Linked DNA regions of Macaca fascicularis. The protein of the gene in region 1 interacts with the protein of each later gene in a pairwise test. Links are inferred from orthologs where the notes say so. Each region holds a gene or a part of one and is shown in the gene's direction. Other genes may lie near its edges.

Region 1 (3,512 bases):
ATTTGAAAATAAAGATAGTACTTCATTCCTTGTTAAAACAAGCTCTTTAACCAGTCTAAGAGACCCAGATACCAACACAACGATATGGCCGGAGACCATATGGTGTTGGGCTGCTTATTGCCGGTTATGATGTAAGTTCATTGAATATTGTTATATGTTAATGATTTTTTTTATTAACTAGAAATTTTTATAAATTTTAGTTCAACCAACATAAATAATTATGTGGTGTATTTATTTCTATTTGTAGGATATGGGCCCTCACATTTTCCAAACCTGTCCATCTGCTAACTATTTTGACTGCAGAGCCATGTCCATTGGAGCCCGATCCCAGTCAGCTCGTACTTACTTGGAGAGACATATGTCTGAATTTATGGAGTGTAAGTGATAGCCTTGCTTTTTTTTTTTTTTTTTGGCCTCTTCCAGTCTATATAGTAAATAAATATAGTATCCTAACTACATAAAACTATCAGTCTTACAGAAAGAATTTTTTTTTAAAATTAAGCCCCAGAAGAGTTTGTTTCTGTCACATATACTAACTTCAACTTCTGGTTACCGCCAGAAGTTAAAATTGATACCGTAGTTTCAATCACGACTAGAACTTTTTCAAAATATAAATGTGTTCCCAACCTTGAAAATTCTTGATTCAGTTGGTCAGAAGTGTGCCCTGTGGAGTGGAGAGTGGAGAACCACTATACTACCTGCCAGTTGTAAGCTCTGTTCACTTTTAGTTTTCTGTGAGTCTTATTTTAAGCCACACAGACATTTCTGCATTAGTAGTCCATAAACAAGAAATAAAAAGGCAGTGTAGCTGAGGGAAAAGAAGGTAAAAGAGGTAAGATATTATGACAGGGCAGGTTTTCAAGTGCTTTGCTTTGCTTTGCATTGGAAGGAGGATATTGGGTTTTACATTTCTTTGTCATCTTATCTGTTTTCTGGTGACATAGCATTCTTTGGAGGAAATATTTGGGGTTTAGTGAATGCAGAGAAAAATAGTTTAATTGACATTACTCAAAGCAAACTGTTGTAGGATGACAATAGGTTTAACTTTGGGAAAAGAGGATTCCTTGGACAAATAAGCTTGGTAAATGCTTGCTTAAAGTTTAACATTTTAAATTATGGTAAATGGATTGGGGTCCCCAAGGTTACCCCTAAATTGGGAGATTTGCTAGGACTTAAAGCACTCAGCATATGGTTGTACTCCCAGGTTAAGACTTATAACAATAAAATAACAATACATAGGTGGATCATTAAGGAAAAATACAGTCCAGAGGAATCTATGTGCAGGCTTTCTTATGCTCTTTCCTTCCCAGAAGGAGTCACAGAGTACACTTGCAGCAATATGTATGTGACGTTTCTGCCCAGGGAAGCTCATTGGAAACTCAGTGTCCAGTTTGATTCAGAACTGCTCATATCGGCACCCTCTGCCTAGCACATTTCAACCTGCATAGGAAATTCCTAAAGATTGCAATAAATCCATAGATAATTTTGGGGAGTACTGTTACTTAAATGATACAAGGCATCTGATCCATGAACATGGAATATCTTCATTTATTTAGGTATTTAATTATTTTTTTCTTTTTTTTCTTGAGACGGGGTTTCGCTCTTCTTGTTGCCCAGGCTGGAGTGCAATGGCACAATCTTGGCTCATTGCAACCTCTGCCTCCCGGGTTCAAGCAATTCTCTTGCCTCAGCCTCCTGAGTAGCTGGGATTACAGACTCGCCACCACGCCCAGCTAATTTCATATTTTTAGTAGAGTCAGAGTTTCTCCATGTTGTTGGTCAGGCTGGTCTTAAACTCCCAACCTCAGGTGATCCACCTGCCTCGGCCTCCCTAAGTGCTGGGATTACAGGCATGAGCCACTGCACCCGGCCAGGTATTTAATTCTTTCACTGATGTTTTGTAGTTTTCCATGTACAAATCATATTTGTGTTATAAGTATTTTATTATTTTTGGTGCTGTTGTGAACAGAATTGTGTTCTTAATTTCATTGCATATTATTCATTGCAACTACGTAGAAATACAGTTGATTTTTGTATATCAATCTTATATCTTGCAATCTTGCTGAACTCGTTTATTAGTTCTAGTCATTTTTTTATAGATTCCTGAGATCGTGTCATCTGGGAATAGAGATAGTTTTACTTTCTCCTTTCTAATTGCCCTGGCTGGAACCTCTGGTACTAATGATGAATAGAAGTTGCATGAACAAACATTCTTTTCTTTGTTCCTTAACTTAAGGGAAAAGCTTTTAGTCATTCACTATTAAGAATGATGTTACCTGGCCGGGCGTGGTGCCTCACGCCTGTAATCCCAGCACTTTGGGAGGCCAAGGCAGGTGGATCACGAGGTCAGGAGATCGAGACCATCCTGGCTAACACGGCGAAACCCCGTCTCCACTAAAAATACAAAAAATTAGCCGGGCGTGGTGGTGGGCACTTGTAGTCCCAGCTACTCGGGAGGCTGAGGCAGGAGAATGGCATGAACCCGGGAGGCAGAGCTTGCAGTGAGCCGAGACTGCCCCACTGCACTCCAGCCTAGGCGACAGAGCGAGACTACGTCTCAAAAACAAAAATGATGTTACCTGTCAGCTTTTTGTAGATGCCCTCTATAAGAGGTTGCTTTCAATTACTAGTTTTGTGTTTTTATTATGCAAGGATTTTAGGTTTTATCACATGCTTTTTATGCATCTCTTGAGGTGATTATGCAGGTTTCCCCCTTCTGTTAACGTGTGTTACACTGACTTTCAGTTGTTAAACTAACTTATCATTCTTGGGATAAATCTCGCTTGTCTATGGTATATAATTTTTTAATATGTTGCCAGGTTCCATTTGTAGTTTTTGTTGAGGGTTTTATTTTTTTATTATTGTTATTATTTTTTGCATCTATATTGGGTCTGTAGTTTTCTTTTCTTGTGATGTCTTTATTCTTGGTATCAGTAATACTGGCCACATAGAATAAGTTGGAGATTCCTTTTTACAATGAGCAAATATAGGGACTAGGATTCTACAGAACACATTCTACAAAACTTGGAGTTGTATAATTTGTTGTCGGGATTTTGATTTGACCTAGCAAAAGAGAAGATCAAAATTGTAACAGAAATAATGAGTCCTCTCATTAAATAATGATCAGCAATGTCACAGAATGCTATTAAAAGATTGTATGACTAGCATTAAACTTGGCTGTTTTTACTGTGATAAATTTAGTGTGTAACTAAAAACCACAATTTCAGACTGTAGATTTGATCAATAACAGAAGCCTAACAATGAAATTAAGAAATAATTGTTGATTTATTACATATAGGCAATTTAAATGAACTAGTTAAACATGGTCTGCGTGCCTTAAGAGAGACACTTCCTGCAGAACAGGACCTAACTACAAAGGTAAGTATTGTCTTTTCCAATTGTAGATATTAATGTTACAGTTTAAACCTTTATTGCATAAATGTAATGGAGTATATATACAATATTCTTTAATTTGGGATATGATTGTCTTGCAGATTCTTTCCCTTTAAGCT
Region 2 (4,091 bases), on another chromosome or scaffold:
GATACAAAGGGAAAAATACACAACGTCAGATTTTTGTTTTACATCTTCACTTCAACTTCTTGCCCGGTTTCTAGGCCTTTGAATCCTTCTTAGTTCTAGCAATGACACAGTAGTTATCCTTGGGGGTGGGAGATTTGGTGGTAGTCAAGGTGAAGAAATAGCTTCTGCAGTTGAAAGAAGCTGATGTTAAGAATAGGCTTTATACTTCATAGTGAGGTTGATCTTAGAAAAATGACTTCACATCTCTTGTCCTCAATGGCTTATTTATTTATTTTGTAAAATTAAGAGTACCCACCTCCCAGGTTGGAAGTAAAGATTAAAAGGTATCACTGCTCAATCCCCTAGCTCATAGGGTGAAGGCTCATGACTGATTTTAGAATCAAGGAAGCAAGGTATGAAGAGAGCCCACAGAGGCTCTGATCACTCAATGTTCTTTGGCTTTCATGAGTTCTTTTCTCAAAGTTCTTATTTGAGGTTCAGTAAGATTATTGCTCATTTCTTTTTGTTTTTTTCTGGCTTCTTGAGCTTGCCTTCTTGGTCGAGATAAGCCATGGTTTTCGGAGTCATCCTCATTTTCATGAGCTTCTCAGATACCTTGTTTGAAACATCACATCTATCCAAGTTACAGTTGTTCCCCAATGACAGGAACTGTTCTGTGCTTAACCAACTATATGTCAAGTGTCAGCAAGGTGCCTGACAAATGGGACATAGCTAGGGGATGTGTGTTGAGTGAATGGATTCATCTAAGTCTTGTTGCTCCTCAAAGTGAGTCTGAAAGGCAACCAACTAAAGAAAGAAGAAATGTAGGACTTCTTGATAACCCAAGGCCGTAACATCCACCAATACCAAGACTTAGTTTCTTCCCTGGATAGGGAAGGCTGGTTGAGTCTTAACCCAAGTGAGAACCATTGCTATTACAAGGGTTAGTCCTCCTGCTACACCACTGACCAACAGGAAAGTTTGTGTCTCCAGAGTGGACACATCCATAAAGAGGCCAAACCCAGTCAAGGTCTAAGCATCTGATGGCTAAAATAACTTTGCTTCTTTGAAAAATAATAAAAACCTTCTGACCTCCCACCAGCAGCCAACCTGATTTCAAAGAGCCAAGAGGCATCTCAGATTCGTCAACATTCCTTTAATGAGCTGAGAAACTTTTCATGGTAAACTCAGCAGCTGAGTAACAGGATGATGGCACCACAACAGGTAGATAATCAAGGCAGGAGGTCAAAGCATTGGAGCCAACACCCACCCAGGACGGGGTATAAAAGGGCTGGGAGGAGAGGAGACCTCAGTCTCAGTGGCTCGGCGTTCCCAGCTGATCTGAAGCTCCTGTGCAGTCTCAGCCCTACACCATGACCTCCTCCTACAGCAGCTCCTCATGCCCTCTGGTTTGCACCGTGGCTCCTGGAGCAAGAAATGTCTCTGTCTCTTCCATCGACGTTGGGTGCCAGCCCGGGGCAGAGGCCAACGTTGCCCCCATGTGCCTTTTGGCCAACGTGGCACATGCCAACCGAGTCCGCGTGGGGTCGACTCCCCTGGGCCGCCCCAGCCTCTGCCTGCCCCCAACCTGCCACAATGCTTGTCCCTTGCCAGGGACCTGTCACATTCCTGGCAACATTGGAATCTGTGGGGCCTATGGTGAAAACACCCTGAATGGCCATGAGAAGGAGACCATGCAGTTCCTGAACGACCGCCTGGCCAACTACCTGGAGAAGGTGCGCCAGCTGGAGCGGGAGAATGCGGAGCTGGAGGCCACACTCCTCGAGAGGAGCAAGTGCCACGAGTCCACTGTGTGCCCGGACTACCAGTCCTACTTCCGCACCATTGAGGAGCTCCAGCAGAAGGTGAGGTGTGGGATCGCTTGGGCATGCTGGGTCTGAGAAGGCAGAAGCCTTCGCAGGAGGAATCCACATAAGGTCCAGAGAGCTTTGGGTTCTTGGTTTCTCTTGGACATGAGCGTAGACACCACACGTGGAGTGAGAGCTTAGAGTATGATGCTTTGTATGTGAACCGTCTTTCCGTTTTCCTCAGATCCTGTGCAGCAAGGCCGAGAATGCCAGGCTGATTGTACAAATTGACAATGCTAAGCTGGCTGCCGATGACTTTAGGATCAAGTAAGTCAGGTGGAGGAGGGCCAGGGTGACTCCCTCCCCACCCTCCATCCCAGTGCTCAAATACTTGTTGAGTGAGTGAATGTTTGTCCTGTCTTCCTTGCTAGATTCTCCACAGTAAAATTTTCATTACAATCAAAGCTGATGAAAGATGGAAGGGAAAACTCCTCATTAATCCAAGCATATATGTTTGTCCTCCTTCATTTATTTCCCTAAAATGGAGGATAAGGGAGCCTGAGTTCATTCACCAGGAGCAAAATGAGGGGATTTCAAGGATGAACTGAGCAAGACAGCCATTGGGTTTCATATATAAGTCAGAGAAGTCGTTTACAGATGAGTCTTTGTTCAGATTTAATTATGGAGCCCTAAGGTACCAGGCATAAGGTACCTAGGCAAAAATGAGAGAGGGGAAGACAGCTGAAAAGTAAGGCATAAGGAGCCGCAGATCACGATCAGGCACCTGGCTATTGCTTATCTTTGGTAACTGACAGTCCCCGCAATGGCACGAGTGTTGGTCCCAAGATGCATGATCTTAGGCAAGTCAGTTCATCTTCCTGAACTGCAGTTGCCACAGAATACAATGGCAAAAATGTATATTGTGCAATGTAGTGTTGTGATTGCTTCATTAGACCATGAGCTCTTTGAGAAGGGGGGCTGTGTCTAATTCACCTTCGAGGCCAGAGGGCTAAACAGTGAACAAATGAGGATCCAAGGTGGTGTGGGAGGTAGGAAGAAGGCAGGGCAGCCGAGAGGGGCTCTTGGGGCATTCTTGTTGACCCTGTACCTCCCGTGACGGAAGGCTGGAGAGTGAGCGCTCCCTACGCCAGCTGGTAGAGGCGGACCAGTGTGGGACGCAGAAGCTCCTGGATGACGCGACCCTGGCCAAGGCTGACCTGGAGGCCCAGCAGGAGTCCCTGAAGGAGGAGCAGCTGTCCCTCAAGAGCAACCATGAGCAGGTGTGGCCCTGGCTGCTCAGACTCCCGGGGAGGGTGCTGGGCAGACAGGGGAGCTCCCTGGCCCCGGGGCTCTCAGAGCATTGTCTGGGCTCAGCTGGCATCAGGATGCAGGGCTGAGGTGAGTCTGAGGGTGCAGTGGTCCTCTGTGCAGACTTGCCTTGGGCACGAGGAAGGTGTCCAGGTGGGCTCTCCCCACTGCACTCTCAGCAAGACTTTCCCATTTGCTTGTGTGTGGGACTCCCCTCCCACTGCTTGCAGGGTCAGGGTACTGGTGCTGTCTGCTCCATCAAAGGTCCTCTCTTCACACAGGCTGTCTGTCCCTTCCTCCTTTCTGCAGGAAGTAAAGATTCTGAGGAGTCAGCTGGGGGAGAAGCTCCGGATCGAGCTGGACATTGAGCCCACCATTGACCTGAACAGGGTGCTGGGGGAGATGCGGGCTCAGTACGAGGCCATGGTGGAGACCAACCGCCAGGATGTAGAACAGTGGTTCCAAGCCCAGGTGAACGGAGGAGGTACAGAAGCAGGGGGTACCTGGCCTCCATCTGGGCAGGGAGGTGACTATGTCTCTCCGTGCTCTAGTCTGAAGGCATCAGCCTGCAGGCCATGTCCTGCTCCGAGGAGCTGCAGTGCTGCCAGTCGGAGATCCTGGAGCTGAGATGCACAGTGAATGCCCTGGAGGTGGAGCGCCAAGCCCAGCACACCTTGGTATGTGTCCTTCACCCTCACTGCACTGCAAATGCCCTGTGCCATGGCCTAGTAGCCTTTTATTTTGGAGGTCTCACCGCCCAGGTTTCTCCCACCTGTTATCACCATCAAAATCTGGGGCATGTAGCAGTTTCCCTGGGGGCCTTGCACATTTTATCCCCTTATTTCCCACTACAGAAGGACTGTCTGCAGAACTCCCTGTGTGAAGCTGAGGACCGCTTCGGCACGGAGCTGGCCCAGATGCAGAGCCTCATCAGCAACGTGGAGGAGCAGCTGTCCGAGATCCGGGCTGACCTGGAGCGGCAGAACCAGGAGTACC
Region 3 (4,213 bases), on another chromosome or scaffold:
CCCTCCCCACCTCTCCCCCATGTACACACCCCACCCCCAATCTTCTTTTTTTTTTCTAGTCCAAGGAACACCACCCCTTACTTGCCGACTTCCGAAGGTCACCGGGAGCGGGTTCTCAGCCTCTCCCAAGCCCTGGCTACTGAGGCGTCGCAGTGGCACAGAATGATGACAGGTGACTGGCTGGGGATGTTGAACTTCTGGGTTTTAGGGAGGAGAAAGCTGGAGACCTGGAATCCCAGGTCCTGGAGAGGAGGGGTCTAGGGGCCGGTGGGAATTTTTTATGTTGGCGAGGAAAGAGTTGGGCAGAGTTTGGGAGTTTTAGGTCTCAGGCAAGAGTGGACTGGGTTCCGGGACACTTGGGAGGAGGGGAGGAAGAGGTCAGGGGGCGGGGAGAGGACCGACATCTGAGTCTGAAAGAGGTCTGGACTGGGGTGTCCAGACTCCTGGGTCTGAGGGAGGAGGGGCTGGGGGCCTGGACTCTTGGGTCTGAGGGAGGAGGGGCCTGGGAACCCGGAGTCCTGCTGCTGAAGTTTGCCATTCTTATGTCTCCCACTCATCCTCTCTAGGTGGAAATTTGGACTCCCGGGGAGACCCTCTTCCCCGTGTGCCGCTGCCTCCTTCGGACCCCACGCGCCAGGAGACCCCTCCCCCAAGATCTTCCCCGGTGGCTAATTCGGGTTCCACAGGGTTCTCTCGCCGAGGGAGTGGGCGTGGAGGAAGTCCCGCCCCCTGGGGGCCCACGTGGGATGCCGGGATCGCCCCTCCGGTCCTGCCCCAAGACGAGGGGGCGTGGCCTCTGCGAGTCACTCTGCTACAGTCCAGCTTCTAACCCGCCCAAACGTGGCAGCCAATCGGAGCGTGAGCACGTGGTCTGGAGGTACCGCCGGAGATCTGGGACCACTCAGGGCATCAGGGGCGTGGTCTGGTCCCCATCGCCCGTCCGGGAGGGAAATGGTTTCTATGGCCAAAGTTTGATTTTCTCAACACTGTCTAAATTTGGATTAAAACTTTGAACTTTTAGTCAATAGCTTTGTTTCTGTCTGTTTGGGGTTGTTGCACTGGGGTCTCTGAGGGGCAGAGCCGGAGTCGTGCACTCCTGGGTCCTGAGAGAGGAAGGGACAGGGTGCTTGGACTTACAGGTCTCTGGGAGGAAGGGATAGAGAATCTGATCCCTCAGTCTGAGAGTGGAGGGGCCTGGGTCAGGATTCCCGGGTCTGAGGGAGGAGGGGTTGGGACCCTGACTCCTGGGTCTGAGGGAGGAGGGGCTGGGAGGCTGGACTCCTGGGTCTGAGGGAGGAGGGACTGGGGCTCCTGGATTCCTGTGTCTGTGGGAGGAGAGGAGTGTCTGAGGGAGGAGGGGCTGGGGACAAACTTCCAGGTCCCTAGCCTTCCTGGCAACGCCCCCCGAGGCTGGACTTCCACGATCCAGCTTCTATTGAGGATTTGATGCGACGGCCTCACGTGGCTTTGGAGGTGAAAAAGGCCCAGAGTAGAGACACAGAGAGAGAGAGAGAGAGAGAGACCGGTGGACACGGATGGCTACGGGAACGCGCTATGCCGGGAAGGTGGTGGTTGTGACCGGGGGCGGGCGCGGCATCGGAGCTGGGATCGTGCGCGCCTTCGGTGAGCCGGGTCTGACTGCTGGGAGCTGTGGAGCGTGAGAGAGGAAGGATGGGGGCGGGGCGATGGGGGCGGAAAATAGGGTCTCCAATACTGCAGCCGGGATTCTGATCTTATAAAAGCCAATTTGCAGGCTAAAGTAAGCGTGTGGCGCGGTAGGCTAGGGCTGTCTGGCAGGGTCTCCGAAGGCAGTGGCCCCTTTCTCTGGGTCTGTTGGTATAGCTGCAAAACCAGTGGTTTGGGGAATGGCCCTGTCAGTTGTGGAGTTTGCTCTGGAACCCACGAACGGGGGATCAGGAGCCTCAGCAGAAACCTGGGCAGGCAAGGAGAGTATGTGTCAAGGCCTCTGCCCTCTGTCCTGTGGGTGATCATGAGACTGGGGTCACGAGGGGAGACGGAGATCGGCCCCAATCCAGGTGGCCACAAGAGGGCGGCAGAGGCTTTAACCAAGACTCGGAGGGTAACGTGTTGCCTTCCTATTCTCAGTGGACAGCGGGGCCCAAGTGGTTATCTGCGACAAGGATGGTGAGTGAGGGTCCCTCAGCCCTCAGCCCTCACCCTGGTCCTTCCTCCCTCAGTCCAGGGGTCCAGGAGCCCCAGCCCCTCCTCCCTCAGTCCAGGGGTCCAGGAGTCCCAGCCCCTCCTCCCTCAGACTCAGGAGTCCAGACCCCCAGCCCTCCTCCCTCAGACCCAGGAGTCCAGACCCCCAGCCCCTCCTCCCTCAGACCCAGGAGTCCAGACCCCCAGCCCCTCCTCCCTCAGACCTAGGAGTCCAGGAGCCCCAGCCCCTCCTCCCTCAGACCCAGGAGTCCAGACCCCTGTCCCTCCCCCCTCAGACCCAGGAGTCCAGATCCCCAGCCCCTCCTCCCTCAGACCCAGGAGTCCAGGACACCAGGCCCTCCTCCCTCAGACCCAGGAGTCCAGACCCCCGGCCCCTCCTCCCTCAGACCCAGGAGTCCAGACCCCTGTCCCTCCTCCCTCAGACCCAGGAGTCCAGACCCCCGGCCCCTCCTCCCTCAGACCCAGGAGTCCAGACCCCTCCTCCTCCCTCAGACCCAGGAGTCCAGGCCCCCAGCCCCTCCTCCCTCAGACCTAGCAGTCCAGGCCCCCAGCACCTCCTCCCTCAGACCCAGGAGTCCAGGCCCCAGCACCTCCTCCCTTGGACCTAGGAATCCAGGGCCCCAGCCCCTCCTACCTTGGACCCAGGAGTCCAGATCCCTGTCCCTCCTCCCTCAGACCCAGGAGTCCAGGCCCCCAGCCCCTCCTCCCTCAGACCCAGGAGTCCAGGCCCCCAGCCCCTGCTCTCTCAGACCCAGGAGTCCAGGCCCCCAGCCCCTGCTCTCTCAGACCCAGGAGTCCAGGCCCCCAGCCCCTCCTCCCTCAGACCCAGGAATCTGCAGGCCCCCAGACCCTCCTCCCTCAGGCCCAGGGCTCCAGGCTCCCAGCTCTTTTCTGCCTGCAGAGTCTGGGGGCCGGGCCCTGGAGCAGGAGCTCCCTGGAACTGTCTTTATCCTCTGTGATGTGACTCAGGAAGATGATATGAAGGTGAGCCGAGTTCCCATTCCTACCCCCATCTCCGCTAATGACCAGTTCTTTGTTCTCCTCCAGCCATTTGCATGTGCCTTTCCCTCTACTTTTCCTTCCTCTCCTGGCTCCACTGGACCCGTCAAAGGTTTCCAACCAGTGTCACTCCACACACAAGATCTTCTGTGACTGACGAGCAGGTCACATGTTCCTTCTCTCCCACCTCTCCAAGGCTCTTAGCACATCTGACACGTGGGTGGAAAGGAATAAGTCCCTCAAAGTGGGTCAACTGTAACTGATTTTTCTGTCTCTTTTTTGGAGGTGTCACTGTCACTGAGGCTGGAGTGCAGTGGCGTGATGTTGGTTCACTGCAACCTCTGCCTCCCAGGTTCAAGCCACTCTCCTACCTCAGCCTCCTGAGTAGCTGGGATTACAGGCGTGTGCCACCATGCCCAGCTAATTTTTTTTTTTTTTTTTTTTTTTTGAGACGGAGTTTTGCTCTTGTTGCCCAGGCTGGAGTGCAATGATGCGATCTCGGCTCACCGCAACCTCCGCCTCCCGGGTTCAAGTGTTTCTCCTCTCTCAGCCTCCTGAGTAGCTGGGATTACAGGCATGCTCCACCACACCTGGCTAATTTTGTATTTTTAGTTGAGATGGTGTTTTTCTGTGTTGGTCAGGGTGGTGTTGAACTCCCGACCTCAGGTGATCCGCCTGCCTTGGCCTCCCAAAGTGCTGGGATTACAAGCATGAGCCACCGCACCCGGCTAATTTTTGTATTTTTAGTAGAAACGGGGTTTCACTATGTTGGCCAGGCTGGTCTCGAACTCCTGACCTCGCGTGATCCACCCACCTCAGCCTCCCAAAATGTTGGGATTACAGGTGTGAGTCACTGCACGTGGCCTGTAACTGATTTTTTTCTCCATTATTTCTGGGTTCCTCTTTCTTCCTTTTAATCAGTATCTCTCTGTTATCTGCCCCCCTTTAGTAACTGTCCCCTATACTCTCTCTGAATCCTTGTCACCCCCATGCCCCACCCCCTAACCCTGGGTGCAGTGTGGCTCTGACCAGC

What was found.
Region 2: the proteins of PSMA1 (region 1) and keratin, type I cuticular Ha8 interact in binary tests that used the Homo sapiens proteins (3 or more experiments, as listed by UniProt). The two-hybrid records come from large-scale screens. The link is inferred for Macaca fascicularis from reciprocal best matches to the Homo sapiens genes PSMA1 and KRT38.
Region 3: the proteins of PSMA1 (region 1) and HSD17B14 interact in binary tests that used the Homo sapiens proteins (3 or more experiments, as listed by UniProt). The two-hybrid records come from large-scale screens. The link is inferred for Macaca fascicularis from reciprocal best matches to the Homo sapiens genes PSMA1 and HSD17B14.

Annotation. Positions count from the first base shown.
Region 1 is NC_088388.1:51,244,635-51,248,146, forward strand, and holds part of PSMA1 (proteasome subunit alpha type-1), read left to right. Parts: intron 1-60; coding exon 61-131; intron 132-247; coding exon 248-377; intron 378-3,298; coding exon 3,299-3,378; intron 3,379-3,512. UniProt on the Homo sapiens protein: Component of the 20S core proteasome complex involved in the proteolytic degradation of most intracellular proteins. This complex plays numerous essential roles within the cell by associating with different regulatory particles.
Region 2 is NC_088390.1:62,486,658-62,490,748, reverse strand, and holds the start of keratin, type I cuticular Ha8, read left to right. Parts: upstream 1-1,290; 5' UTR 1,291-1,352; coding exon 1,353-1,844; intron 1,845-2,031; coding exon 2,032-2,114; intron 2,115-2,910; coding exon 2,911-3,067; intron 3,068-3,404; coding exon 3,405-3,566; intron 3,567-3,646; coding exon 3,647-3,772; intron 3,773-3,949; coding exon 3,950-4,091.
Region 3 is NC_088393.1:56,819,703-56,823,915, reverse strand, and holds the start of HSD17B14 (L-fucose dehydrogenase), read left to right. Parts: upstream 1-1,412; 5' UTR 1,413-1,535; coding exon 1,536-1,623; intron 1,624-2,106; coding exon 2,107-2,145; intron 2,146-3,082; coding exon 3,083-3,165; intron 3,166-4,213. Other genes in the region: PLEKHA4 (pleckstrin homology domain-containing family A member 4), read left to right, coding at 60-172, 567-829. UniProt on the Homo sapiens protein: Catalyzes the NAD(+)-dependent oxidation of L-fucose, yielding L-fucono-1,5-lactone, which rapidly converts spontaneously to L-fucone-1,4-lactone. Can also act on D-arabinose and L-galactose, with lower catalytic efficiency. Does not use NADPH.